Linked DNA regions of Bombyx mori. The protein of the gene in region 1 binds, or shares a complex with, the protein of each later gene. Links are inferred from orthologs where the notes say so. Each region holds a gene or a part of one and is shown on either strand. Other genes may lie near its edges. The genes, in order: cytoplasmic dynein 1 intermediate chain and dynein molecular motor protein light chain 1.

Region 1 (13,079 bases):
ATACAGCTAAATATATTATATTATGTATCTTTGTTTTTTTTTTTCAACTGTGAGACTTATCTCTCTTGTGGAGAGCTCGGGAAGTTTTTTAATTTTGGCATTATATTTCCCTTTTTATTTTTACAAACGCTTTCTGTCACCGTCGTACTTAACGCTTCTATTAAAGATGTGTGAGCTGCGCTTAGTCGTTTCAATTGGATAATATAATAAATATGATTGATCGTAGTCAAATACTTTAAAATGCTATCAGTTTCAAAAGAAAATGATGTTGGGTCGCCATCAAATCACAGAATAACGATTGTCACGATTCGATCTTGATATCTGAACGGGGTTTAGTTGGTTAGTACTAACCAATCAAGCCGGTCCACATTATTAATAATAGTAATAACTAAAGATAAAATCGTGGTAATCAATATGTGTCATATTCAGTGAAATATCCTTGAAAACTGAATGCATCCACAGAGAATATTGTTACAGTAATATGGTATATTTTTCTTACATTCATGCTCACGATAAAAAGAAGATATAAAATATGAGTTTAACGGCCTGGCCACGGGGATCGGCGGTGCGAACAGCGAAGCGGTGGGCGAGGCGACCATTCGCGCAGCACCGTTTGCAGGCCACGGGTACTCACGTTCGCCGCCGCGACTAGTAAGGAAGTCCGACAGCGAAATGTCTATATCGAAATTATCTCGATATTGCTTACAAATTAATAGTTTTTTGGTTCAGGACCTATTATTTGGAAAAGATTGTGAAGTACATGATTTGAATAAGAATCGGAGTATACCTATAGATGGAGAATTCCACAAGAAGTACGAGAAATACTTTGGGTGGCTAGACTTCCAAATAGCTGGTCTAGCTAGTATTTCAGCTATTTTATTTTTTTATTGCTTAGATGGGTGGACGAGCTCACAGCCCACCTTGTGTTAAGTGGTTACTGGAGCCCATAGACATCCACAACGTAAATGCGCCACCCACCTTGAGATATAAGTTCTAAGGTCTCAAGTATAGTTATAATGGCTGCCTCACCCTTCAAACCGAAACGCATTACTACTTCACGGCAGAAATAGGCAGGGTGGTAGTACCCACCCGTGTAGACTCACAAGAGGTCCTACCACCAGTAATTACGCAAATTATTATTTTGAAGATTTCATTTTTATCACACGATGTTATTCCTTCACCGTGGAAATCAATCGTGAACGTTGAGTGTTGTTGAGTACGTATTTCATTACAAAAATTGGTACCCGCCTGATATTCGAACACCGGTGCATCGCTCAACACGATTGCACCGGACGTCCGTTAGGCCACGACGACTTTAAAAATATAAAATAAAAAATAAATAAAAAATATAAAAATTTCGGCGTTAATTTTTCGCGGCGAAAACAACTAAACTCATTTAATCACTGCACTATTCGCCGCGACTACCGCTCGACTCCGTGGCTCGCGCCGTCCGTATTCATGCATTTGTTTTGCTCGCCCGCCGCATCGCGCGATTCGCTCGGTACATTTCGCCGGTCGCTTCGCCGGTCGCCGGTGCGCGTGGCTTGTTAGGTACATTTCTATGCGCTTGTTTTAGTCGCTAGACGCTTCGCCGTTCGCACCGCGCGAATATTCGCATCGGCGAATGTCCCGTGGCCAGGCTGTAACGGTTGGTACGTTCAATGTTCGTGCATGGTGCAGCTTGGGTATCATCACATTAAAAACCCTATAAATTATGGTTCATTTTGCTTGAGAGTACCTGATTTATTAAAATAATAAACTCAGAAATATCTGGTAACACTAACTGAAATTCTTACAACTGTGATGGTGCTAGGTCGTAATGTGAGCACGCAGAGGTAGGTATCGTTCCGTCAATATCTGCCATTAACCAGCCATGAGTTTTAGTTGGGATTATGAGACGGGTATTATACAATATAATTAAACCTTCAACTTGGTGTCTCAAAGTGAGTGACCGTATTCTCGTAGTAATGTCTATAGCCTCCAATAAACTTGGGGGATGGGACACTGGGTGCTCATCACTGGCTCTGCCTGAGTTAATGATCGTTATTTATTCAATTCTTCGATTTCGGCTTATTAGATCTCACCAGGACCGACAGCATTGCCTTAAAATCTTCTTTTTCACAATTGGTTCCCTTACACTCACCACGCTACATTAAAAGATTGATTTCAGAATATCCTTCTGATTCCATTGCAGTACAGGTAATCCTCATATAACGCGGTATTTTACAACACGGTTCCACTGTTACATGAAAACAAAATTTCTCAAAAACCCTCTATATATAACACGGTACTTGAACAACACAATATCATGATCTTCCCATGGACACAACGCACTGAGTTTCTCGCCGGATCTTCTCAGTGGGTCGCGATTCGATCCGGTTGTAGATTCTGCGAAGCACTGCTCTTGCTAAGGCTTAGTGTTAACAATTTCTCTCAGGTTGAGCCCGTGAGCTCACCTACCCGTCCGGGCGTATCTGGAATAGCTCCCTTAGGGTACCAGCGAATAAGTGGGGGAAAAAATAAGATTTTTGTTTAAAATAATTTAGATAATGACATTCGATAGAATTGAATTTGAAAATTACTGAATAATCGAAATTTTACTGTTTATTTTTTATGTATAATAGGTAAAAATATACATACAGGCATCATAGTGGAAATGTTTCATTCTGAAAAATGTGTATTAGCTTCTATTTTCATATAACACGGTTTCGCACAACACGGGACTTGGTAGGAACGTATCTAGCGTGTTATAGGAGGGTTACCTACATTTGAATCTGAATGCTAACGAACATATCTATGTACTATCAGTACGTAACGCGAATTGTCGTTCACTAGTGCTCACAGTTCTTGGCTGTAGGTTGCAGGAACTCCATTTACTAATCAGCCAGTGCAAAATGATTCGTATGTCGCTTACACCCATATCTTTAGATATTCCTCAAATTTTCCTCCACTCTAACTCATCCGAGGACGCCTCGAGAAATCCAAACCATACTCGAGTTTGGTATCTTTAGTCGACCATTACAATATTCCTCAAATCTACTGTTTTTTGGTTTGTTTACTCTACTCCGGTGAGGAAATCTTTCGAGGGGCATTTGAGTGGAGGCTATTTTTACGATCAAGCATACCAAAATTACACTCAGGGTGTTCGCTCAACGAGACTAATAAAAACGTACAACTACGTAACGTGAGCAAATTTTTGAACAAATTTATATTTTAGATTCATTTACACATATTGCTGTAACTCTGTTCTCGCTTTAGTTATTAGAAAATTAATCCGTACGCTTCTCGACCATTTGATTTTAAACGTTGTCATTTGTCCGCACGCGTCTCGGGATATTTAATTTGTTGTCGAATTAATACGCAATATTTAATGGGAAAACAAGTAAAGAAAGAGTAAATGTTAGTTGTTAATATTTGCTGTACACTTTGATGCTATTACAAATGTAACAGAGATATAATTTTTGCACTAGAAGATTGCACAAAGTGGGAATGAGTTGCTCGCTCCGGGCATTTCAATATTGTAGTAATTGTTACGTTATAATACTCATTGTAAAAATTTCATATTTAAAAAAAACCTAATATAAAAAAAAAACATATTAAAAAAAAAGACATGCCCGCTGAGTTTCTTGCCAATTCTTCTCAGGACGGAGGCTAGTTCTTGTGAATTGGCGGTAGTTCTTTTGACGTTCAACAAGTATGTACTTTCATTTATGTTGAATAAAAAATATATTTTTTGATTTGATTAAGTAATGTATTTTGAATAACATTTTCGAAAATCATAGTAATTATGAAAAAAAAAAATCTCTCACTTTTAATAACTTAGGTTGGGCGTCGATACCGGACCAATCTGAGAACAAAGTTCGATTTCTTTTCGAAAAATTGGAACATGTCTAATTTGGACTTAGACAAATGATGACGTTAAATCTTCCATCATAGACTACGCTTTTGTTATGTCAGCAAAGTATTTATAAATAAGATGAACTTTAATTGACTTGTTGCTTCAATTACCATTTTCTTCTTAAAAAGATGAATTGAAACTGCTTTCGTGTTGTATTTTTTTCTTTCCGAAAGTGATTTCAATTCGCTTTTGTTTCATTGCAATATCATGCTGGATGTAAGGGAACCGTTCGCGAAGCTGAAACTTTAAATTGTAGATATTATCTAAACGTGAAAAGTATTAGCATAGATACTAGTGGTTTTAGAGAGTTTGTTTACGAACAGCCAATCCTAAGTTAATGCAGTTGACGAACGCTCTGCGTCACACTGGAAAGTTCATTCCGCGTATAGTTGTTGCGAAGTACGACTGCGCGCCGCCTTAGTTGTGTGAGTGACCTATTTGTATACGCGTGAATGTAGGCTATATGTAGCTTTTTTTTCCTACCTATGCTGATAGCCTTGAGAGGCAGCACTTGGAGAAGGCGACACGACATGAGAACCTGGTCACTTGTCGTGACCCCTGGAAATTACATGCTCGATCCTGCAGATCGAATGGTAAACAGTCGACGTCGCCTAAAACACGTCATTACGGATCCTCCTGATCCATTAACGGTGCTTTTAGGTACCACAAGCACCAGTCACCGTCCTCGTCGAACCCGTCGCTTGCAACGAAGGGCTCGACGAGCGAATTAACCTACAGACACAGACTCAATTTTTTTATTCCTACTTATGCAGATAGCCTTGAGAAGCTATTTCAGCTTCACCCTAACGTGTAGGTGAGCTCACGGAGCTCAAACCAGAGTTGCTAACACTGGCCCTAGCAAGAGCAGCGTTTCGCAGAATATACCACCGGATCGGAAACGCGGTCCACTGAGAAGATCCGGCGAGAAACTCAGTGGGCTGTGTCTGTGGGTTAATTGACTCGTCGAGCCCTTCGTTGCAAGCGACGGGTTCGGCGAGAACGATGACCGGATATGTAGCTAAAGCTGTCTGCTGACCGCTCCATCGGGTACACATACTAACGAAAATGTGTATTTACGATTGCAACTACAAATAAAGGCCACGCGCGCTCGTACTCTGCAACAACTATATCAATTGTGTTACTACAACAGGTCTTTCAAGTATTACGTAATCAAACGAACTAACAAAATAAATAAATAAATCGCTCGAAATTTTGACAGCATCATAAAAATTAACATGAACCTTGATTCGAAAAATATTCGTTACAAACCATCGTGCTAAGACCGGAATTCCCCAATTTGAATGTCGGTTAATGTAATAAAACTAGGTAGATAATATATAGTAATGTACAAAAGAGAAAAGTTTTGTTTTCAGAAGAAATAAAAAGCGTTTGGATTTTTTTATACCTTTAATTGGCTGTTTCAATATGTTTTTATTCTATTCTATTATGTTAGACTTAAGCTGTTGGTCCTCCTTGTAACAATTAAGTAATATAATATACCCCCCAAAACAAATAAGAAAATAGACCTCACCTCTTAAGCTTTGCTTACAAAAACTTGAACGCACCCTAAGTGCTGGTAAAAAAGATCGCTGCATTTAGAATCACCACTGGTTGTCTACATTGGGAACGGTTCCAATGCATCCTATAAAATTATCATTAAAATGTTTGGTAACACATGAGCAGTGTGGCCCAGCCTCTCATTCCAGAACTGGCTTAGTCGATCATTTCGTAAAAAGTTACTAATCGACACAAGCTTTTAATTCAAACAAAACGTAGGAATATAATATTAAAAACGTCAAATACATTTGCTCATATGTTACTGAAACGCCATCACTATTAGATCAGCATCGGTAGCCATGACACCTGTAGCTAGGTTACATAATCATGCACATTAGTCATGTCAGTATTACACATTATAACATAAAGGTAATTTCATGAAGTCACAATTAAACAAATTGAAAAACTTTAATGTACCTAATTATAACAAACCTTCATGAAGTTATCGCGCGTAACGTACAGCTTGCATAAAAATAATATGTATTTTTCGTCTAAATTCGAGTCGACTATTTTTGATAATTAAAACGACCGTGCAATGACGATAATTTGCCAACTATCAAAAGTCACAGATTACCTATTATTATTAGTGCTCAATTTCGCGTCAATATTTTTATTGTTGGTATAAGCGGATCTTTCTAATAAGAAAATTCCGTAGAAAATAAATCAAGCTGTATGTTAAACACACACGCACACCACACGCTCGTCGAGGGCCATTCTTATTCACCGTCCAGTGCTTACATTCGACGGCGACGTGGCGCGCCAAGGAGACGACGAGGAGGCCGCCTTCCACGGTAAACTGCCCCCGGGGATACTGCCGCACGGCCTGCCCACCGTCAAGGAGGTCCAACCCGCAGTCACCGATGCGCCCGTCGAGAAGAAAGACGAAGAGAAAGAGAAGAAAGGTTGGTGTATCTTGCTTTTTTATTGCCCTCGTAGGCAGACGAGCATACGACCCACTTGATGGTGAGTGGTTACTGAAGCCCATGGACTTTAGCAATGCCAGGAGCAGAGCCAAGCCGCTGCCTATAACTATGTGCCAAAGATCAAATAAGCAAGACTGGGCAAGACAAATGTATCGCGCGGCCTTATGATAAATACGTATCATTACGTATATCAATTGTGCAGAAGCATTGAAAAAGGCAATCACCGAAAACCGATACAGAATATATTCATGAACTGTATATATTAGTATCAGTTTCACGAAAATGATGTTAAAGATCAACGCATTACATAGTTGACAGTATCATATTATTTGCATTGATACATTATTATTTGTTGTCTGAAAACCGCTCATACCGCTCAAACCCCTGTTTGCTAGGCATATCGAGGGGTGTAAGACTACTTGATTTAAGCGACATTTTAGCAATTTTACACGAGATCCATTTAAAGTTTAAAATTTGAAAAAACATCATAACAAAAATACTTCAGTTATTTGAATGCGGTAAACTTAATTGGAGTACCACATAAACCGGACCTTTAATTGCAAAGATAAATATTGCGTATTAAGCGAAATATCGCTTAAACCAAACAGCATTAGGTTTGTTTTTGAATTTTCCTCTCGTATTGGCATCTCAGCGGTGCGCGAGCTGAGCGCTGACGAGAAGCAGACGATAATGCTGTCGGCCGAGTTCCAGAGGTTCATGAGTCGCGCCGGACGAGTCATCGAACGCGCGCTCGCCGAGTCCGTCGACATCTACACCGACTACACGGGCGGGGGCGACGGAGAGAACGCTCTGTGAGTTCCGCTCATTACTCAACCCTTAGGCCTCATTCGCACGGGAGTTTTTTTTAGCGCGCCTTAAAAAAGCGTTCAAATAGAACAGATGCATTTCCTAGTATGTGTTCATACATCAGCGCTTTTAAAATGCGACGCTTTTTTTTATCGCGCAGTGTTTCATTTTGAGCGCTAATCGTTGGGCGTTACAGATTACGTCACATCGAGAACGTTATAAAAGCGCCAACGCCGAGTTTTAACGCAACGTTTTTAAAATACCCGTGCGAATGAGGGCTTTAGGAGGAACTTCATAACCTGTGTGTTTAGTGCCCCTAGTGGCAAACGTAGATAGATATCACTAAAATAAGACATACGAAAAATGTTTAAAATAGAGAAAGAACCTTAGATAAAGCAGTTTACGGCGCAATTAGTCCCGTTGTCTTTGAACACTGAATAATGTCGTAATAGGCTAATTTATTGATGGTGTTTTTTTAAGTTTCTAGATAGATACAAATAGAGTCGATCAAAAAATATAAATTTAAAATCGAATGAAACATGGATGTCAATAAGGTGTTGTTATGTCTATTTTAAACAGAGAGCAAACCATTGCACGATATAATGTGCAGTATCATGCGCGAATGCCTTATACAAATTTTATGCCTGTAGTAAATTTGTAAACTTCTACCATGATTCAAAGTATTTGGCAGCTTTCAGGCTTCAGTGTTCATTGGCTCCGGTAACTAATAAATACCAAATAGACTATAAAACTACCCACCTATGCCCACTTAGAACAATCATTTTCAAAGTCGTCGTGGCCTAAGCTATAAGACGTCCGGTGCATTCGTGTTGAGCGATGCAGCGGTGTTCGAATCTCAGGCGGGTACCAATTTTTCTAATGAAATACGTACTCAACAAATGTTCACGATTGACTTCCACGGTGAAGGAATAACATCGTGTAATAAAAATCAAACCCGCAAAATTATAATTTGCGTAATTACTGGTGGTAGGTCCTCTTGTGAGTCCGCGCGGGTAGGTACCACCACCCTGCCTATTTCTGCCGTGAAGCAGTAATGCGTTTCGGTTGAAGAGTGGGGCAGCCGTTGTAACTATAATGAGACCCTTAGAACTTATATCTCAAGGTGGGTGGCGCATTTACGTTGTAGATGTCTATGGGCTCCAGTAACCACTTAAGACCATGTGGGCTGTGAGCTCGTCCACCCATCTAAGCAATAAAAAAAAAATATTTTAATAAAAACTAGTACCCATCTAAATTGGATTTTTAAAGAGGATTCATATTTAATTATTTTCGTTAAGCTGCTTTCAGACTACGTTATACTATAGTACCATATAGTATAGCAGCCTATACATAGCCAATAATATATAGTACAGTACAGTTTGAACGTGTCCATAACAATGTATGGTGCGCGATATTGTTGTGCTATGAGCTATATACTATGCGATATTATATTATTATTATTTTTTTTTTTTATTGCTCTTGTAGGCAGACGAGCATACGGCCCACCTGATGGTGAGTGGTTACCGTCGCCCATGGACTTCAGCAATGCCAGGGGCAGAGCCAAGCCGCTGCCTACCGCTTAATACTCTCCACAAGCCTCGTTTGAAGAAGGACATGTCATAGCGCTCGGGAAACACCGTGGAGGGGAGCTCATTCCATAGCCGGATGGTACGTGGCAAAAAAGACCTCTGGAAACGCACTGTGGATGACCGCAGTGGCTCCAGGTAGTATGGATGAACTCTACTCCGGTGGCGGGCGGTGCGATGGTAAAAACGAGATGCCGGTATCATCTCGAACAATTCCTCAGAGCACTCCCCGTGGAACATACGGTACAGAATACAGAGGGAACCGAAGTCCCTCCGCAGACCCAGAGGCTCCAAACGATCCGTGAGAATGGGATTATCGACAATCCGAACGGCCCTCTTCTGTATGGAGTCAAATGGAAGAAGCTGATATTTGGGAGCCCCGGCCCAAAGATGGGAGCAGTACTCCACGCGAGGCCGGACTTGTGCTTTATAAAGCAAAAGTCTTTGTCCAGGCGTGAAGTACCGCTTTGCTCTGTTGAGGACTCCCAGCATTTTGGACGCCAACTTGGCTTTGCCTTCCAAATGACTCCGAAACTGGACATCGCTCGAAATGTCGACCCCAAGTATCCCGATACTCTCGGAAGGTTGCAGGGATACTCCTTGGAATTGCGGCGCCATGACAAAAGGGTCCTTCTTCGCAGTGAACGCGCAAACTTGTGTCTTTATCGGGTTGAATTGAACCAAGTTCAATTCACCCCATTCGGAGACTCGCCCCAGAGAGTTCTCCACTTCAGACACAAGTTTTGATCGTCTCTCTTGCACCGCGCTCCGAGAGAGACTCTGATGGCCGATATATCGCGCATCCCCCGTGCCGTCATCCGCATAGCAATGCATGCCATCAATAGACAGCATGTCATTGATATACAGGATGAAAAGCGTGGGGGAGAGCACCGAACCTTGTGGAACGCCAGCGTTAATGGTCATGGTATCAGAGCAGTCACCGTCTACAACGACCGTGATGCTCCGCCCATCCAAAAAGCTAGCGATCCACTTGCAGAGTCCCTCGGGGATTCCGTAAGATGGTAGCTTCGATAGAAGTGCCCTATGCCAGACCCTGTCGAAGGCCTTCGCGATATCAAGGCTCACAGCAAGAGCCTCGCCCTTGCTCTCCAAGGCTTCAGCCCACCTGTGAGTAAGGTATACAAGAAGATCGCCAGCTGAGCGACCGTGACGGAAACCGTACTGTCGGTCACTGATCAGCTGGCGATCCTCAAGATACTTCAGGAGTTGTGTATTTATTATTCGCTCCATCACCTTGGAAAGCAAGGAAGTTATCGCGATAGGCCTATAGCTCGACGGGTCCGACCGGTCACCCTTCTTGGGGATAGGGTGGACGTGGGCGGTCTTCCATGAAGACGGAACCCTGTTAGCGCAATAAGAGAGGCGATACAAACGCGTTAGCGCAGGTGTCAGCTCAGGGGCGCACGTTTTCAGAACCACTGCGGGGATGCCGTCTGGCCCACTCGACTTATGGACGTCCAGGAGTCGGAGCTCCCGCCTAACTGCACACTGTGTGAAGCAGATATCCGGCAGGGAGCTATCACACCGGGGGATGTTCGGTGGTGTGGCACCCCCGTCGTCCACAGTCGAGTTCGAGGCGAAGAGTTTGACCAGAAGGTCAGCCTTCTCTTTCGCGCTGTGGGCCAGAGTGTCATCGGACTTGCGCAGTGGTGGGAGACTAGACCTACAAAAGTTTCCTTCTGCAGCTTTGGCGAGCGACCAAAAAGCACGGCTCCCGGAGGGATAGCTCTTTAATCGCTCGCCAACTCTAGCAACGTGCTCCGCCTTCGCCTTGGCAATTACCTTCTTGTAGGACCTGGAAGCGGCGTTATATTTCCGCCTTTCCCCTGAGTTGTTAGGATCCCGACGTCTCCTGGCATTATCCCATGCCACGTATGCGGACCGCTTGAGGTGTGCAGCATCCCTACTGGCATTGTTATACCAGGGTCTGCTGCGACCCCCAACGGGCACTTCAGAGGAGGGAATAAACAATTCCATCCCCCGGAGCACCACGTCTTTAAGACGGTCCGCACAGACGTCAGGATCAGCAGAGGAAAAGCAGAACCGCCCCCATGGGTAGGATGCGTAAAATTCACGCAATCCATCCCAATCTGCTGACATATACCGCCAAACTCTACGATACCCGGTTGTCGTTCGACGACCAGGACGAGAGAGTGGTACGGCAGCACGAATAAGGCAGTGATCAGACGATCCAAGCGGAGCGTCGACCACCACACTGTATCCGGCCGGATCCGTGGTCAGCAGAAGGTCCAACAAAGAAGGTTCGTGCCCCTCGATATCTGGGACACGGGTGGGCTGTGTCACCAGCTGGGAGAAGCCGTAGGCCAAGGCGAAATCGTAGGCAGTCCGACCCGGGAGGTCAGTGGTTCTGGACCCCAATCATTCTTGGTGGTGAGCGTTAAAGTCTCCAAGAACCACTACCTCCGCAGATGGGTACTGCTCAAGCACGCGGTTAGTCCCCTCTTGCACATGCTCAAACAGAGCTGAACCTGCATCACTGCTGTGGGACCTGTACAGGCACGCGTAGATTCGGATACAGCCCCCGTGATCCACGCGCAGCCACAAGAGGGACAGGTCCCGTTGTTCGAGGCCCCGAAGACGGCGACAACAGACATCCGCCCGGACGAATACGCACACCCCGGCTTTACGTAGGAAGTTGTGCTCCAATACGTAGCCGGGGTATTCAAGGTATGAGGTATCGTCCGGAGCAGATATCTGCGTCTCCGTTAAAAAAAGCAGGGCAGGCTGCGCCGTCTCAAGGTGGTGGTGTACGGCGTCAAGGTTGCTATGAAGGCCCCTGACATTGCTGAAATCCACATTAAATGTGGAATGGGGAACCGCCTGTAAAACCCTTTTCTTTTTTTTAGACTTCATAAATTATATTTCCGGAGAGTAGGATTGGGAGAGGTAGGATGTTGGAGGTGAGATCGAGGCAACACCTGAATGAAGCGCGGAACATAGTACGTGCTCGACCACGGGTTGCGTGAGAGACCGACGCAGGGCATGGAAGGGCCCCCAGTCCACCCTGCGTACGATCGCCGGGATCCACTCCGGTCTCCGACTCCGGCACGACGACCGCACGACAGGATTTTACACCGGTTGGCGGGACAGCTTCCCGGGGCGGAGTTTAGTAGAGACACCCGGGTTCAGGTCCCCTACTGACCGGCGGGCGGCAGCGGATACCGTTTCACTAGGTCTCCCTATACCCCCGTCAAACAATCACGCCCCGTGAGCTCGCACGCACGTCTGCTCCGCATGTTCCAGACGTCACCAAGATTCACCCCCAGCAAGGAAGGGGAAAGGGAAGGAATAGAACTGGCTCTCCAACCCACACGCCGGAACACAGCTAGGCTATTTGGCGGCGGACTCTAGTTGGAGGGTGGTCGCCAGCCAGTCGGACAAGTCCTACCACCGATTATGAATTCGGCTCCCGTTTTGCACCACCCAGGGGTCACTTGTAGGGAATCGCGGGTTAAACCTACGGAAGCGGGAAGCACCAACCCCCACCTACGGAAGCGGGAAGCACCAACCCCCAACCCCCATTATAGTGTAGTCTGAAAACGGCTTCAAGCTATGTAACGGTTTCAATAAATACATTAGTAAACTACCCTCTTTATGGTATAATAATAATAATAATATTTTCTTTTTTTTTTTTATTCAAGCCTCTTAAAATACAAACACGTACAAGAATTCTTAACACTAGTATAATAATATACATGGCTTTTTTATGAGGTATACAATAACAATATTCCCTGACTTTTATGCTAGGAAAACCTGTGTTACAAAAGTCAGTGGTTCAGTGCTAGGTCACCAGGTAAAGAAATAGTATAGTTGGACAGTAGACAAAAAAATGAAAGCTGTTAGGCGTTGCTTGGTCTTTACTGATATTTGTAACAGACCATATTATTCAGTATTGTTCGTCTATAATCCGTTGTGTGGTGAGGTCATCTCAGGCAACCAGGAGAATCCTTTAACCTCCTTAAGAATAAGGAAGACATATTATTTTACAAAAAGAATTACAAAATAGGTATTTTGGTTTTGGATACTGCGCGATGAACTGTTATTGTTTTTGACTGAAAATTTCATTCTGCATATTTCTGATGCGCTCTGTTGCTAGGCTAGGGTAGCCATTCACATTTCGACGCAACTCTCTCTAATGAACACGTGAACATTTTAATGATTGGAAAAGTAATCAGATTAAAATTTTGTTGTAGGTATTCGAAAGGGTATGTTTCAGTAGTGAATCTAAAAACTATTGTGACCTAACAATTTTTGTGAGGTGATTTT
Region 2 (13,298 bases), on another chromosome or scaffold:
AGAAAGAGCAGCAGAGTATTATTGCAGGATACTACGATCGGTAATACTTGCTGTATGCGCTGTATTGTAAAATTTGCACCACCATCCTGCTTATATCGTGCCTTCAAGCCGCGAAGGCCCGGAGAGCTGTTATAGAATAAAACTAAGACCTCGGCCGTCATCTCTCTCAGTCGTTCACTATGGGTCCGGTTACAGCTTTACATCAGGTAGAACGTGAAATAGTTCAACGCATATATTTTTTAAAAAGCGTATGTTAGTGGCAATTCGTACTACCGAGACGGCAGACGTTTTTCAGAACCTTCGATTCGCCTCGAAGGCTCCGTCGGCCGGGCGTCCTTGGGGTGAGTGAGGATGTAGTGTTGACCACGGTAACTACTTTATCTCATCCGGGTTCTGACCTCGGAGGGGATTGGACGCTTGGACGAAGAGCGCAGGGGAGTCGTTTGGTAGGTAGGGTCCTAAAGCATTCTTGGGACCGCGGTTTGCAAACGCGGACCAGACCCACATACTCCGCGCGTCCCCTAGGCGCAGAGACCTCGAAGGAGGTTCGGCAATGCGTACATATGTACATTGAATTGCAATACATGTAGCTATGTAGTGTTAAATATATTTCTTAATGCTAAATAAATTGTCTTATTTCAAATACTATAGTTTAAATGACTCACACTGTTGACCTTAAATATTGTGGTTTTGAGTTTCATTTAATATATTATCACAGACAATCAAAGATTAATTTATCGTTTTTGATAATAAATTATTATTAATATTTTCTTGTGTGAAATCTCAAAATCAGAAAGTTTATTTATAAGTTTTTGTAACATTCAATTTGCTAATTGAAAATAAAAATAAATTCTTCCAAAAAATCTCTCTTGTGTTTATGTAAGGGCAATAATCTAAAGTAATCCTATAACAGAAGGTCTAGTAAAAGAAATGGCAAAATATAGTTAAAAACTGTGTCTCACAAGCTTCAACTATCCAATGTCACCGTTTCAGAGTAACTTAAAACTTGATGATGCCCTTGTAGGGAGTAGGCAAGTACTCACACACTCAATGCAGCTCCACATCGTATGAGGCCTACGTCATATCACCTGACTCTTGGGCCCAGTGGCCAGTATTTTTGTTAATTCGTTTTTGTATATAACCATGTGTTGTTATTATTTTCATTCAGTGTGCTTTGCAAAATTCGCCTGACAAATACAAATATTAAACCTCACCATTGATTATCTTCTGTACACTGCTTCACATCAGATCTATTTTGAATACTATATAAAACAGAAAACTGAAAGTGGCAGAAGGCCTTAGTACAACCAGCCATTTCAGACCCTAGCTAGTTGGTGCAATAACCTCCAAACGGTGGCCAGCAAGAGGTCGATGAGGAGAACGGAAGACCGGGCTCATTGGTGTGGATTGGGAGAAGCCTATGTCCAGCAGTCGACAACTTAGTCGGACATAGTCCAAAATTATAAAATATAGTATTAATTTTGTAATAAGGAATTACTGTTTATGTCCAAATAAATATACAACAAAAATATTGAAATCATTTTGAAAATGGTGAGATAGTTTATATTGTTGTTTTTTTTACCAGTTTTCTGACCACAGCTTTGTACTCATAGTCACAGATATCTAGATACGCAGTCAAAGCCACATGCTCATTGGATAAAAGGTCAGATAAAAATAATTCTAAGAATGAGTATGTACTTAAGGTTATAATTTCTTAAGTATTCCTTCACTATTTTTATTGCTTTTCAACAATACAGAGACACACTGGGTTCCTTTGCTTAATTAAATATATTCATTCTGGGCTAATCTATATAATTCAACGCAAAATGCTTCCTTAACTTTAACATCATTATAATATACAATACTCCAGAATGAATTAACAACACAAGATGTAATTGCCTTTAAAATTCAAACTAAAACAACATAAGCCCTTAATCTCTTTTAAAATTAATATTTTAAACAGTTTTTTTATACTATGCAAAACTGAACTACCCTCTTCACTGAATGACAGACAATGAGTGATTCTGTCTAAGTTTTTTTTTTAAACTATATAGTTTTTAAGTTTTTAAGGTAAATCATAAAGGTTTTTCTTTACATGTATGTATAATAATTATGGTTAAATTAATCAATTTCTAACTATTTTCCATAGTTCAATAGATGGAAGGGATAAAGTCCCCTATTAGTACCATACTACTGACCACACAATGCCTTGTTTATATATAAAATTGCCAAATGTATCTGCAGATAAAGTTATTTATCAACCTAAACCAATCAGGCTTACGTTCAGTTTAACTTTCAGATGTGAGAGGTTAACATCCTAATTATGGTTTACAGTAGTTTAATGGTTTATGCGTGGGTTAAATAAACTGAGTAACAATCAGCCAGACTAAAACAATGAATTACCTTGTAACAATTGGCAAATCCTTAGCAAAGTTTTCAAGAATTGTTCTTTGTGAATCTTCAGATTCTGCACTCAACATTTTCTCTAGTTCTGCTTCAGGCAGCTTGTACTAAAATTTATTACATGAAAATGATATTTATTTTGTTTAACTTTAGGTATTAATTTCTTTCACAAACAAGTATTATCTTAATTTATTTGTTCATATATTTGATGACTCAGATTCGTTTTTTTACATGGTTTGGTATGTGAATCTTGGTTTATAATTGTAATTATAATTTGTAATTGTAATCTAGTTTGTATATCTGCACTTGTCCTCTGTGGCATCATCAGTGCATACTACATCTACTACATCAGTGTGGAAGAACTGAGGAAATTGTTTATGCATACCAAATACGTACTTAAGATCTTTCATTTAATGTGTAAGTATAGAAGCTTATTTCATATGATTGTGTTAAATAAACATTCAATCATGAGGACGACTTGCACTTGAGGCTAAATATTTTTTTTTACCATAATTTCAACTAAACAGAATGAAAATTTTGTATATGCGATAATGTTTGGAAATTTCCATTAATAAAGAATACTTACTTTTTCAGGGATTGGTTCTATCTCTGCAAAAATTGTTTTCCAGTAAGACCAGACGAACATTATTAGGAGTATGTGGTACAGCACCAAATAAATCCATTGTTGGACTGTGCTTTGTATTGTAACTGTAATATAATTAAGTCTAATGATTTACTATTAATTAAGTGTAAAGTTGGTAATAGTCTTAAACACTTACAAATACAGAGTTGAATAACGTAGGCATAGTATGACCAAGTTATTATAGACACTATGAATGACACTGGAAGCCATTTGAATCCTTTCCAACACCACATGTTGCACGTTCGACAACAGGCACAATAACCAGGTGATGAAATCCTACTATTCTGTACTGATGAAGCCATTTCGATTACATTAATAAATCAAATTGAAAATAATCCATGTTCACCTAAAAAAGAGACAATAAAAAGTGACGACACTGACGGTTGACTGAGTGACATTTCCATTTTGTAAAACGTCAATTTAATCTTTGCATAGAATATAAAAATATAAGTTAATTGGGATGCCATTGCAACGGCTGCCTTACCCTTCAAACCAAAAACCATTACTGCTTCACGGCAGAAATAGGCAGGGTGGTGGTATCTACCCGCGCGGACTCACAAGAGGTCCTACCACCTTACTAGTGGAGGACCTCTTGTGAGTCCATCCATATTAGTGTTATTAATGTGAGAGTATTTCTTTGTTATATTTTCACATCAAATAACTCTGAATTGTTTGGGGTCAGGAATTCGCACTACTTTTTCCTACGTGATGGTGACGATAGGCTGAGTGTTTTAGTGTTAGTTTAGCCTTTAAGATCTTCGCCAACAGAGTCCTACATATCCTGTGCACCCGCTGACGCAGGAAACTTGTAGGAGAATCATACCCCAGCTTGAAAAAAATATCTCTGTTACCGTCAAATTTTAAAGCACATTTCTTATCCACTACTTTTTCCTGCAAACTAATTCAATAATTTGCGATTCCATATTCAGATTTATAAGAGATGGCGGCACTGGTTCTTAATACCAAATCCAGGATAGATTTTATTGTAATGCAGCATGTAGGTAGTAGATCGTAATTTTATAGCATATATGACGCATGACGTATTAAAATGTAATATATACTTCTTACTTGTTCTTACCAGTTCTTACTTGAAACTATCAGTCATAAGTTGATGTCATTGTCAATCTGTTTTATTATCGTTTTTTAGTGTTTTTGTCAATGTATCTAATGTAACTAAAATAAATTTTACTGTTAATTTTAGCTTATTAAGACCTTATTCATTAAAGGTTTCTCCTATTAAAGCGATTTTTACTATTTAATAATTCTTAAAAAGGTAAGTATTATTATATTATATTTAATTTCTGTAAATTTATTTGCGTGTATTATTTTACGCCGTACGTGAATGTTTTTGAATATTTCAGGAAGTTTTAGATTTTGTTCTCAAAATAAAGTTATAAGAAAAAATGTAACGGGTTTTTGTACACATCAAAAATAGCGTATAACTATTTTAGCGATATGGTTTTAAGGTTTTTTACTTCAAAACTCATTATGAAAGAATCACGATGAAATACACTGATACATAATAGTCGAATAATTGGCATTGATGATGGATATTGGCTATAAACCGAGCACCACTAGATCTTGACCAGTCCTGGTGAAACTGGAAAGGCCTCCGGGCCACCAGTAATCCTTCAATCATAAAAAAAAAAATCTTGACCATAGTGCCAAGTACCTATCTATTAACTTATGTGTATTATTATATGGACTTTTTGGCGGGAAAGCGAGGTGTCAAGTTGTGCGATTTGTTTTATTTTGTCTATTTAGTGTTTCTTCAGGCTTAAATGTGTAATAATGGTGGTTTATTAACTGTTTAGTATTTGTGAAAGTGCACAAATGTGGGAAAATGAAACAAAGCCGTTGGACGTAACTTCTCGGGATCCTCCAAAAAGTCCACTGAAAAAATCTCAGTAAACGACCACCATTTTAATGAGATTATATTTCATCCCATATCATCTCATCTCATTTCATTTAATTGCATCCCAGTTGATTAATGTCTCAAATTCTTCATTTTATTTCACTCCATATTAACATGTTTCATTAAAGTATCCCATATAATATAATCTCATTTCATTTATATTTTTATTTATTTCATGCCATGCCATGTTTCATATTAAATTAATCAGCTTCATTTCATTTCATAATATCATATTTCATAAAAAATATATATATAAAAGATTAGGCAGTATGGTGTAATACTTTTGTCTTTCCATTTGGAAAAATAAAACTACTACTACGACTATCTATGGTATTAACAAAAAAAATATTTATGGTATTATCTATGCCGATGGCCAAATTGTTTAGTTTGTCGAACTTCTTTGGTTTCGAAATTCAAACAGAAATTTCATTTTGATAACGTTCAATACTTACTACCTATCTTGAAACAAAATAATGGAAGTCAAAGAATGCAACGATTTGGACGAAGAAGTAATAATAGTCATTTGTGTGTATTAGTTGGTAAATATTGATTCAACAAACTTACCAACATGGTGTATTTCAGAACCAATTCATTGTCGACGACGTGAGTAAAATAATTAAAGAAGCTATAGAAAATTCAATTGGAGGCACTGCTTATCAACACAACAATGTCAACCAATGGACTTCAGCAGTTGTTGAGTCATGTCTGGGGCAGTTGACTAAGTTACAAAAACCATACAAATATGTAGGTACGTGCGTTGAGAATCTAGATTATTTTAAGTAACACAGCATGCATAAAATAAAAAATCATTTATTTTAGGGTCCCTTGTATAAGCTCTCTTAGCAAAAATAAAAAACAATGTTTAAAATTGTATTTTTTTATTGCAAATGAACCTTGAATTATGGAGTTTGCAAGACTCATTTGCATGACTTTTGGAGCTATCACACTGGAATTAATGCTTGCTTTTATTGTGATAGCTAATCTGACCATCAGGAAGAGAGAGACTTATTACATCATTAATAAAGTAATAGCTTAAGGAGAGTGGAGCAGTATACTTGCATCTTTTATGCTATAATTGAACAAACTGTTATTTAGAATTTTCCAGTATTTTGTACAGCATTTAATAATTCAAATTGAAATACATAATTACAAAATTGTAATATTAATGCCTTAAAGGAGCACTATTTGTCGATTTAGTATTAGTTATACATATTTCATTATATATGTATGTGTATAATGAAATATGTATATGTTATTTATGTGTGTAATTGTGTATGTATATAGTCTGATATATTATATATTAGTTTTTTTATATTATTGTTGTTATTGTGTATTGTATCAATAAGTAAATTGATTAGATTGTACTCTTCTACCCACTTATGTAAAGCTCTCCCTCTTTAAGAACGGTTAGCTGGTAGATAAATCAATTGTTTAGTTAGGCTCGCCATTTTATAACTTTTCGCAATTATTGTATAGTATTAATTGTATGTACAATAAACACTAAAAGTATTTACACTATTTGGAGTAATTTGGAAGACTGGCTTCTAAAATGTTGAGCATCTATAAGGAGCTAATTGAACTTCAAATCTCCACAAAAGCTTATAAAGCACAATTCTTTTTTTTTTATTGCCCTTGTAGGCAGATGATCATACGACCCACCTAATGGCGAGTGGTTACCGTAGCCCGTCGATTTTAGCAATGCTAGGGGCAGAGCCAAGTCGCTGCTTATCATTAAGTATTCTCCACAAGATTCGTTTGAAGAGGAGCTCATTCAAAGCTGGATAGTACGTGGCCATAAAGAGCTGGAAACGCACTGTGGATGATGCTGCGATTCCAGGTAGAATGGATGGCTGTGCCCCTGGCATTGCTGATGTCTATCAGTGATATTGTTCACTATCATGTGGGCCGTGTGATTGTTTGCCCACAAAGGCATTAAAAATTTAGAGAATTACCAATACACAAATATATTGGTAATTTGAATAAATGAATTTTCTATTTTATAAGATAAAAGTTAAACCTCTAATGAAGAAAAGCTAAAATGTGTAAATTTACTTTTATCCAATATTTGCTTGTTTTTTACAGTGACCTGCACAATACTGCAGAAGAATGGTGCAGGACTGCATACAAGTTCTTCTTGTTATTGGGATAACACTACTGATGGCTCATGCACGGTCCGTTGGGAGAATAAAACTATGTACTGCATTGTCTCAGTCTTTGGGCTTGGCATATAACATGGATTTATTATATTCATTTACTGGCTTAAAATCTCTTTTATAATACTAATAAAGCAAATTTTTAGTATACTGATAACATAATTATCAAATCTGTATGTTTTATTATGAACTCTTATGTTTCAATTAATAAATAAAGCTTTTATTTTACACTAAATGGAAAAGTATGCTATGTCATTTTCCAGTATATATGCATAGAGAAATAAAGTGTTAATAAACAGATAAGTTTGTTCATTTATGGACAAAAACTTTGGGAGAACAAAGAACTTTGTACCTAAACAACAAAACCTAAGAAAGTAAAAACTGGTTTCATTGAATCTTCGATTTGATGTATATAATTTGTATGCGTTTTCTTGGATGTAGTCTTGTTTTGCATTCCACTGAATATAAATACTGAAAATTCTATTCAAAAGTACAAATTGTGTAAGAGGGAAATTGGAGCATGGTGGTCTCTTACGAAATATATTTTGAGGCTGTTAATTTTACTAGAAAAATCTCAGATTATCTAATAAAAGGCTTCTGTTAGGGCACAACATTGTCACATACATTTATCAGGAAAAGAGATTTCACTTCGAGATGTTTAGGTGCCGAACATGAGGAGTATTGGTTATATTGAGGTGTGTTTGATTACAGGAGCTTTCTGAGAAGGCCCATTGAGCGATTATAAAGAAACCAGTATCATGCGTGATTCCATAAAGAAAACGTTGATCTGAATTTTTTTATATTGCTGAATGAATATAAAACACTATCAGCTTCTTTTTTTTTACTTTTATTGCATAAATGAGTGAACGAGTTGACGACCCACAGTTGCTCACTTTGTAATAAAATTGAGGTCTTAAAATTTTTGTTGACACGAGTAGGTACCTACCTACTTTAGAACAGTGCCGTTACATTTAACATATTATTATGGAACGTTTACCTAACATTGGTAACCCATCAGAAACCCACGGTAGATACGTTCCTACAAACTCCGATGTTATGCAAAACTCGTGTTATTTAAGATAAGATGACTACAAAAAGGAGAGGATTTTTCTAAATAAAACATTCTATACCTGTATATATATTTTAATCTATTATACATAAAAAATAAGCTTACTGTAATTTTCTAAATAATTTTAAATAGAAGTCTCATTATATAATATTGGGTATTGGGGATTTTTTTTTCCGTAAAATACCTACCTTGCGATATCTGGGTTACCTGTACCTCCTGTCTTCTTACAAATTAAATGAAAGGTACCTATATAGCGTTTCGTAGCAAAAAAAACCGGCTGATTGAAATATATACTCATCAGTGCTTTCTTGCACTATTTTATACCAATGAACAAGGCCTGATCTCATGGAAGAAAACTAAACTTTTTTATGCCCTAAATATTTTACAAGTACTGTTCACCGTTCCTAAATACTGAATTGAAATAAAAACGTGGTCCCTATTCAAGATCCTCCATCGTTCTGTTCGAAAAGTGGCAAGACAATGTTCAATGAACTGACAAAATACAATTGTATAAAATTTTACAATAATTATCAGAAAAACAGTTAATAATACTGCATTGTATGCAGAGCATAGTAACTTACTATTTGTGTAGATTGAGCATTGTAAACCAAACAAAACGTAGGAAAGGTATCATGAAAAAATCATGAAGAAATAAAATTACCGATCGAAGGTGATCATCAAATGATGACTTCGTTTATTTAACGATGAGCAGCAAAACCGGCTTTCCAGAATCTCAATACAAAGTAATTTAAATGACGGGTTCCACAATATTCACAACTACATAGTGTAGTCTAGATCTAGTGAATCATATCTAGTGTAATTAACATTACGTAATAGATTTTTTGTGGGTATGTTCCCGGAGATAAAATTTTACTTAAATCATGAATTTTTTCAAACGTTCCCGCTAAAGCTCCTTGGCATATTTGTATCACGTGACCATCATCGATCCAATGGTTGAACGCTTCTCGGGTCCATTCAACTCAACTTTGCGAGCTCCGTGGAGTGGCGTGGAGAGGGCAACTTCACAATTCCGATTCTATTCATAAAAGGAAATGTTTTTATATTGCTGTCTCTCTTACTCATGTAAAAAATTGTAGTGTTTGAGTGAAGTAGCAATATGTTTGATTGGAAATTATTGAAAGCTGGGCCAGGCAGGCCACTTCAGACCAGTCGCCATGTAAATTTTTTTGATGTGGGTGTTGTGTCTCGGCACGTCAAATGCTTCAATGAATTTTATTATTCTCAAAAGAACATTGATTTCGTGTAAATCGTTATATTATTTGTAAATTCGTGCTCATTCTTAGTCCATATTGTGAACAGTGAAACATATTGTGTTGTGATTGTGTACCATCTAATCTGGTGACGGCGGGTAATAGATTGGAGGGGGAGCTGCTAAAATACTACGATAGGATAGTAGAGACGTTTTACTACTCGGGAAGTCGGGAGCGCTAAGCGCTTACAAAATTTCTCATCTCGACGCGAGCGATTACGGTCTTCCATTTTGTTTTAATATGCAGTTTGGTTGTTTACGGTGTGCATCGTGTACAGAGCAATTGCAAGCCACGGTGAGTACTCGGTGAAGTGTTCGCATTGTAAATACGTTGTCTGCGCATGTAGGCCTTACATGACAATAAACATGCAACAATGAATAAGTAATAGTTTGGTAATAGTATTCGATTTTGTGCACCGCACGGCGCAGTCGTGGTAGATGGGTTGCGGCACGTCATTATTTAGGAGAAGCACCCCCGCGGGTATGCTCAGTGGTACGTAAACATCGTTCATCAAACACAAGGTGAATTAATTTTGTATCATTTTAAATTGTAGTTGATAATCATGCGGTGATACTGTGAAGTGTAAATTTAATAAACACGTTACAAGTCTCATTTTAGTAATCTATCAGTATTATTATCAGCTGATTACTCTAAGCGGCCGTCCGCAAACGTCAATGTTATGTATTCAATCACAGGCTACTTGAATACTAGAGTACATCTAGAATAAAATTCTCTTGTGTGGATATTGATCTTGCCTAGGTGAGTACACGACTTTTGTAACTTGTGTATTTACCTAATCATTGCATATACAGGTGTCAATAATTTTAATTACAATATTTCTAAATTGGTTTTATAATTAATTTTATTAGCTCAAAAAACAGTAGTAGTTTAATCTAAAATAAATAAATTCTAAAAATAAAACTAACCTTAAGAATTCTAAAGCTTAAAAGTACTTTAATCTAAAGCATTTTCTTAAAGCATCTTAGAAGAGTATTATTGTTTTTTGGTATTGTGTAATTTCTATGAAAATAATGAAATAAAACTAAAACCTTCATCACTCAATAATAAGTTAGTCTAATGTTCTAAATGATATTAAATAAAAAATTTGATTGATTTTGAAATTTACATAATATGCACATTGAGATTACAAGATTTGTCTTCAATAACAGTTGTCTTTAGTGATAAACAAAAAAAAATCCAGTAATTCAACTCAGACCTTAGTCGAATGTACTGAAAACTTCCTTTTCATCTATTTGCTGTGACTTAAATATTGTCTTAAACTAGCTAGCACAATTTACCTTCAATTTCAATGGTGTCAATGGAGGTAGGACCTCATGTGAGTCCACACAGACGGGTACCATCACCCCGCCCAGTTCTGCCGTGAAGCAGTAATGCATTTTGGTTTGAAGGGCTGGGCAGCCATTGTCACTATATTGAAACCATAGAACTTATATCTCAAGCTAGGTGGCGCATTTATGTTGTAAATGTCTAGGGGCTCCAGTATCCACTTAACACCAGGTGGGCTGTGAGCTCGTCCACACATCTAAGCAATAAAAAAAAAACTTATAATCAGAAATTTGATAATGTAGAAAACGAGAGTCATCCTCTTTTGTTATATGAAATCTGGAAAAACTGCTCAGAAAAGAATGAGTATATCAATTTTCTCTAAAAACAAATACAGACTAATGGAGAATATTCAAATTTGAAATCATAGTTTTTTTATTAATAATATTGACGCTTGAAAGGCAAACGTGACTAAGCGACAATGCATGAACTTTACAGTAGACTAATTTAAAGTTGAAATACCTGATAACAAATTTTATTTTCACGAATCTAGCTGTAGTAGAATCTAGCTAGTAGGATTGAAATGATTTTAATAGACCTAGAAATATATATTTTTTGCGCATCGAATATGGTTATTGCCTATCATTTATGTACAAAGCAGTTATTGTCGCTAAGTCACGTTTGCCTTTCAAGCGTCGATATGATTTAAGTAAAATTTTAATAGAAAAATGTATAGAAAGTGTTGGAGTATACCTGTTCACATTACACATAATAATACACATTAGATATACTTAGTATTTCAAAATTTCTCAAGATATTTATTTATAATTGACATACTTAATTTTGAAAACGATGGTTGTTTTAGCAAAAATATTTATAAACATGGTAACCAGTGCTTATCAGTCCATAGACATCATAACTTGAATGCCAATGCTAATAGATTATTTTGTATTATCAGAAAATGCATCATATTTTCCTTTAAAATAATATTAGAACAATCTTATTGCTTACCTAGTGAATTTTAGGATAAACTAGAGTCCCAATAAATTTTTATTAACCTGAAACATTTTAGTAAATACAAGGCATTTGATTATTGTTTAAGATCCTTCTAGGCTTTTACTTTTGTAATTCTCTACCTAACTACTCAGGAGATCTCATGGACTACCTGGTATCAAGGTATTCAAAGGTCTTAAGTGGATCTTAATCTTCATAGCTAAGCTATTAATTATGTAAAACACATTTGCACCATTTGACAGCTAATAACTTGCTTGTCTTAAAAAAGTCATATGCTTTTATATAAAAACAAGTAAATAAAAAATTACATTGATTAAGTATAATTACACATTTCTGCCAAATCTCTCTTCTCTTCTTCGTCGCTTCCTCATTACTGAGGGTCGTGACCACCTTGATCTAGTTTTTGCACCAGCTGCCTCCAATGTTGCCAAATACTTTAATTTTAATATTATATTTTTTCCATTCAATTTCGTAATATAGAAAAAATATATTTCATGCCTTATGTGTCATAATATTTATAAAAAAATGGCAAATACCACCAATAGTTTTTTTTTTAAATGCATTCAAATTCTGTAAAGTTTATGATTGTGAAGAAACGCAACGAGGGTCTTCCAATGATGCACTTTAGTTTGAATCAGAATTAATCATTACAAAAGTGAAAGCTACCTGAGATTCCACAAATAATATTCTTCCCGTGGTGTGATGGACCAGTCTGTGCCTGTTCACAATATCACATAATATTTATTTATTTAGACACACCAACAGCAATACACACAAAACATTCAAGCTTAAAATTAACATGTATAAAATTAAGTACTGGTATGTAAGCCAGTTACAGGCATGTACAGCAATCTCTTATAACACACTATGTATGACATGTTACAGCAATTTTACAAACAGCGGAAAAATAGGCTAAATTTAAATGTTAACAGTATGACAAAAAAAGGAATATTTGAAAATAACATGAAAACAAGAGTTAACTACTTAACATTCTCTCATCAACTATAAACAAAGGAACTTGGATACTAGTTTGTTTTTGAGACCAGGACACGTGTCGTTAAAAATGTCAATGCCGTCAATTAAAATTCTACAAATGATGTGAAAGACACATCATTTGTAGAACGAATTTATGTTCCAAAGAAAAGTGAGCTTGTATTGAGAAAATACCGACGCCATTTAGGCGGGCTTCGGACAGCCTGCCGACAGAGAGCTGGTGGTCGTGGCGCTGACGATCGCTGGCCAGGCGTGCCGAGGGCGAGGGTGATGGGAGAGATGTGCTCCGCACTTAACGCTTCACGCTAAACGTCTCATGCGAGGCTCGGACGTGGGTTGTTGAGCGACAGGTTTTAGTCGGTTCGACTCCGACCTACCCCGCCCGCCATCCCCAGTGGAGGCTGGAAGTCCGGCAATTTCCTCCTGACCAAAAAAAATACATATTTCTCGCCCTTTTAGATTTTAGCAAACAACACGGATTTTCATGGATTGTTTGGAAGCTCTGGATCTATGGAGGGACTTTGGTTCTCTCTGTTTTCTATTGTATGTTCCG

The links.
Region 2: the proteins of cytoplasmic dynein 1 intermediate chain (region 1) and dynein molecular motor protein light chain 1 are in contact, whole or in part, in a crystal structure (PDB 3FM7), measured with the Drosophila melanogaster proteins. The link is inferred for Bombyx mori from reciprocal best matches to the Drosophila melanogaster genes sw and Dlc90F. Residues at the interface, in NP_477075.2 of Drosophila melanogaster: Asn109, Leu110, Ser111, Val112, Tyr113, Asn114, Val115, Gln116, Ala117, Thr118, Asn119, Ile120, Pro121, Pro122, Lys123, Glu124; in NP_477356.1 of Drosophila melanogaster: Gly72, Ala73, Gly74, Leu75, His76, Thr77, Ala78, Ser79, Ser80, Cys81, Tyr82, Trp83, Asn84, Asn85, Ser90, Cys91, Thr92, Arg94, Tyr101, Ile103, Phe107.

The regions. Positions count from the first base shown.
Region 1 is NC_085115.1:15,806,415-15,819,493, reverse strand, and holds part of cytoplasmic dynein 1 intermediate chain, read left to right. Parts: intron 1-6,186; coding exon 6,187-6,357; intron 6,358-7,030; coding exon 7,031-7,190; intron 7,191-13,079. UniProt on the Drosophila melanogaster protein: Acts as one of several non-catalytic accessory components of the cytoplasmic dynein 1 complex that are thought to be involved in linking dynein to cargos and to adapter proteins that regulate dynein function.
Region 2 is NC_085113.1:8,149,414-8,162,711, forward strand, and holds dynein molecular motor protein light chain 1, read left to right. Parts: upstream 1-5,333; 5' UTR 5,334-5,434; coding exon 5,435-5,470; intron 5,471-5,543; coding exon 5,544-5,709; intron 5,710-7,043; coding exon 7,044-7,192; 3' UTR 7,193-7,412; downstream 7,413-13,298. Other genes in the region: palmitoyltransferase ZDHHC2, read right to left, coding at 2,404-2,510, 2,990-3,111, 3,183-3,348. UniProt on the Drosophila melanogaster protein: Acts as one of several non-catalytic accessory components of the cytoplasmic dynein complex that are thought to be involved in linking dynein to cargos and to adapter proteins that regulate dynein function.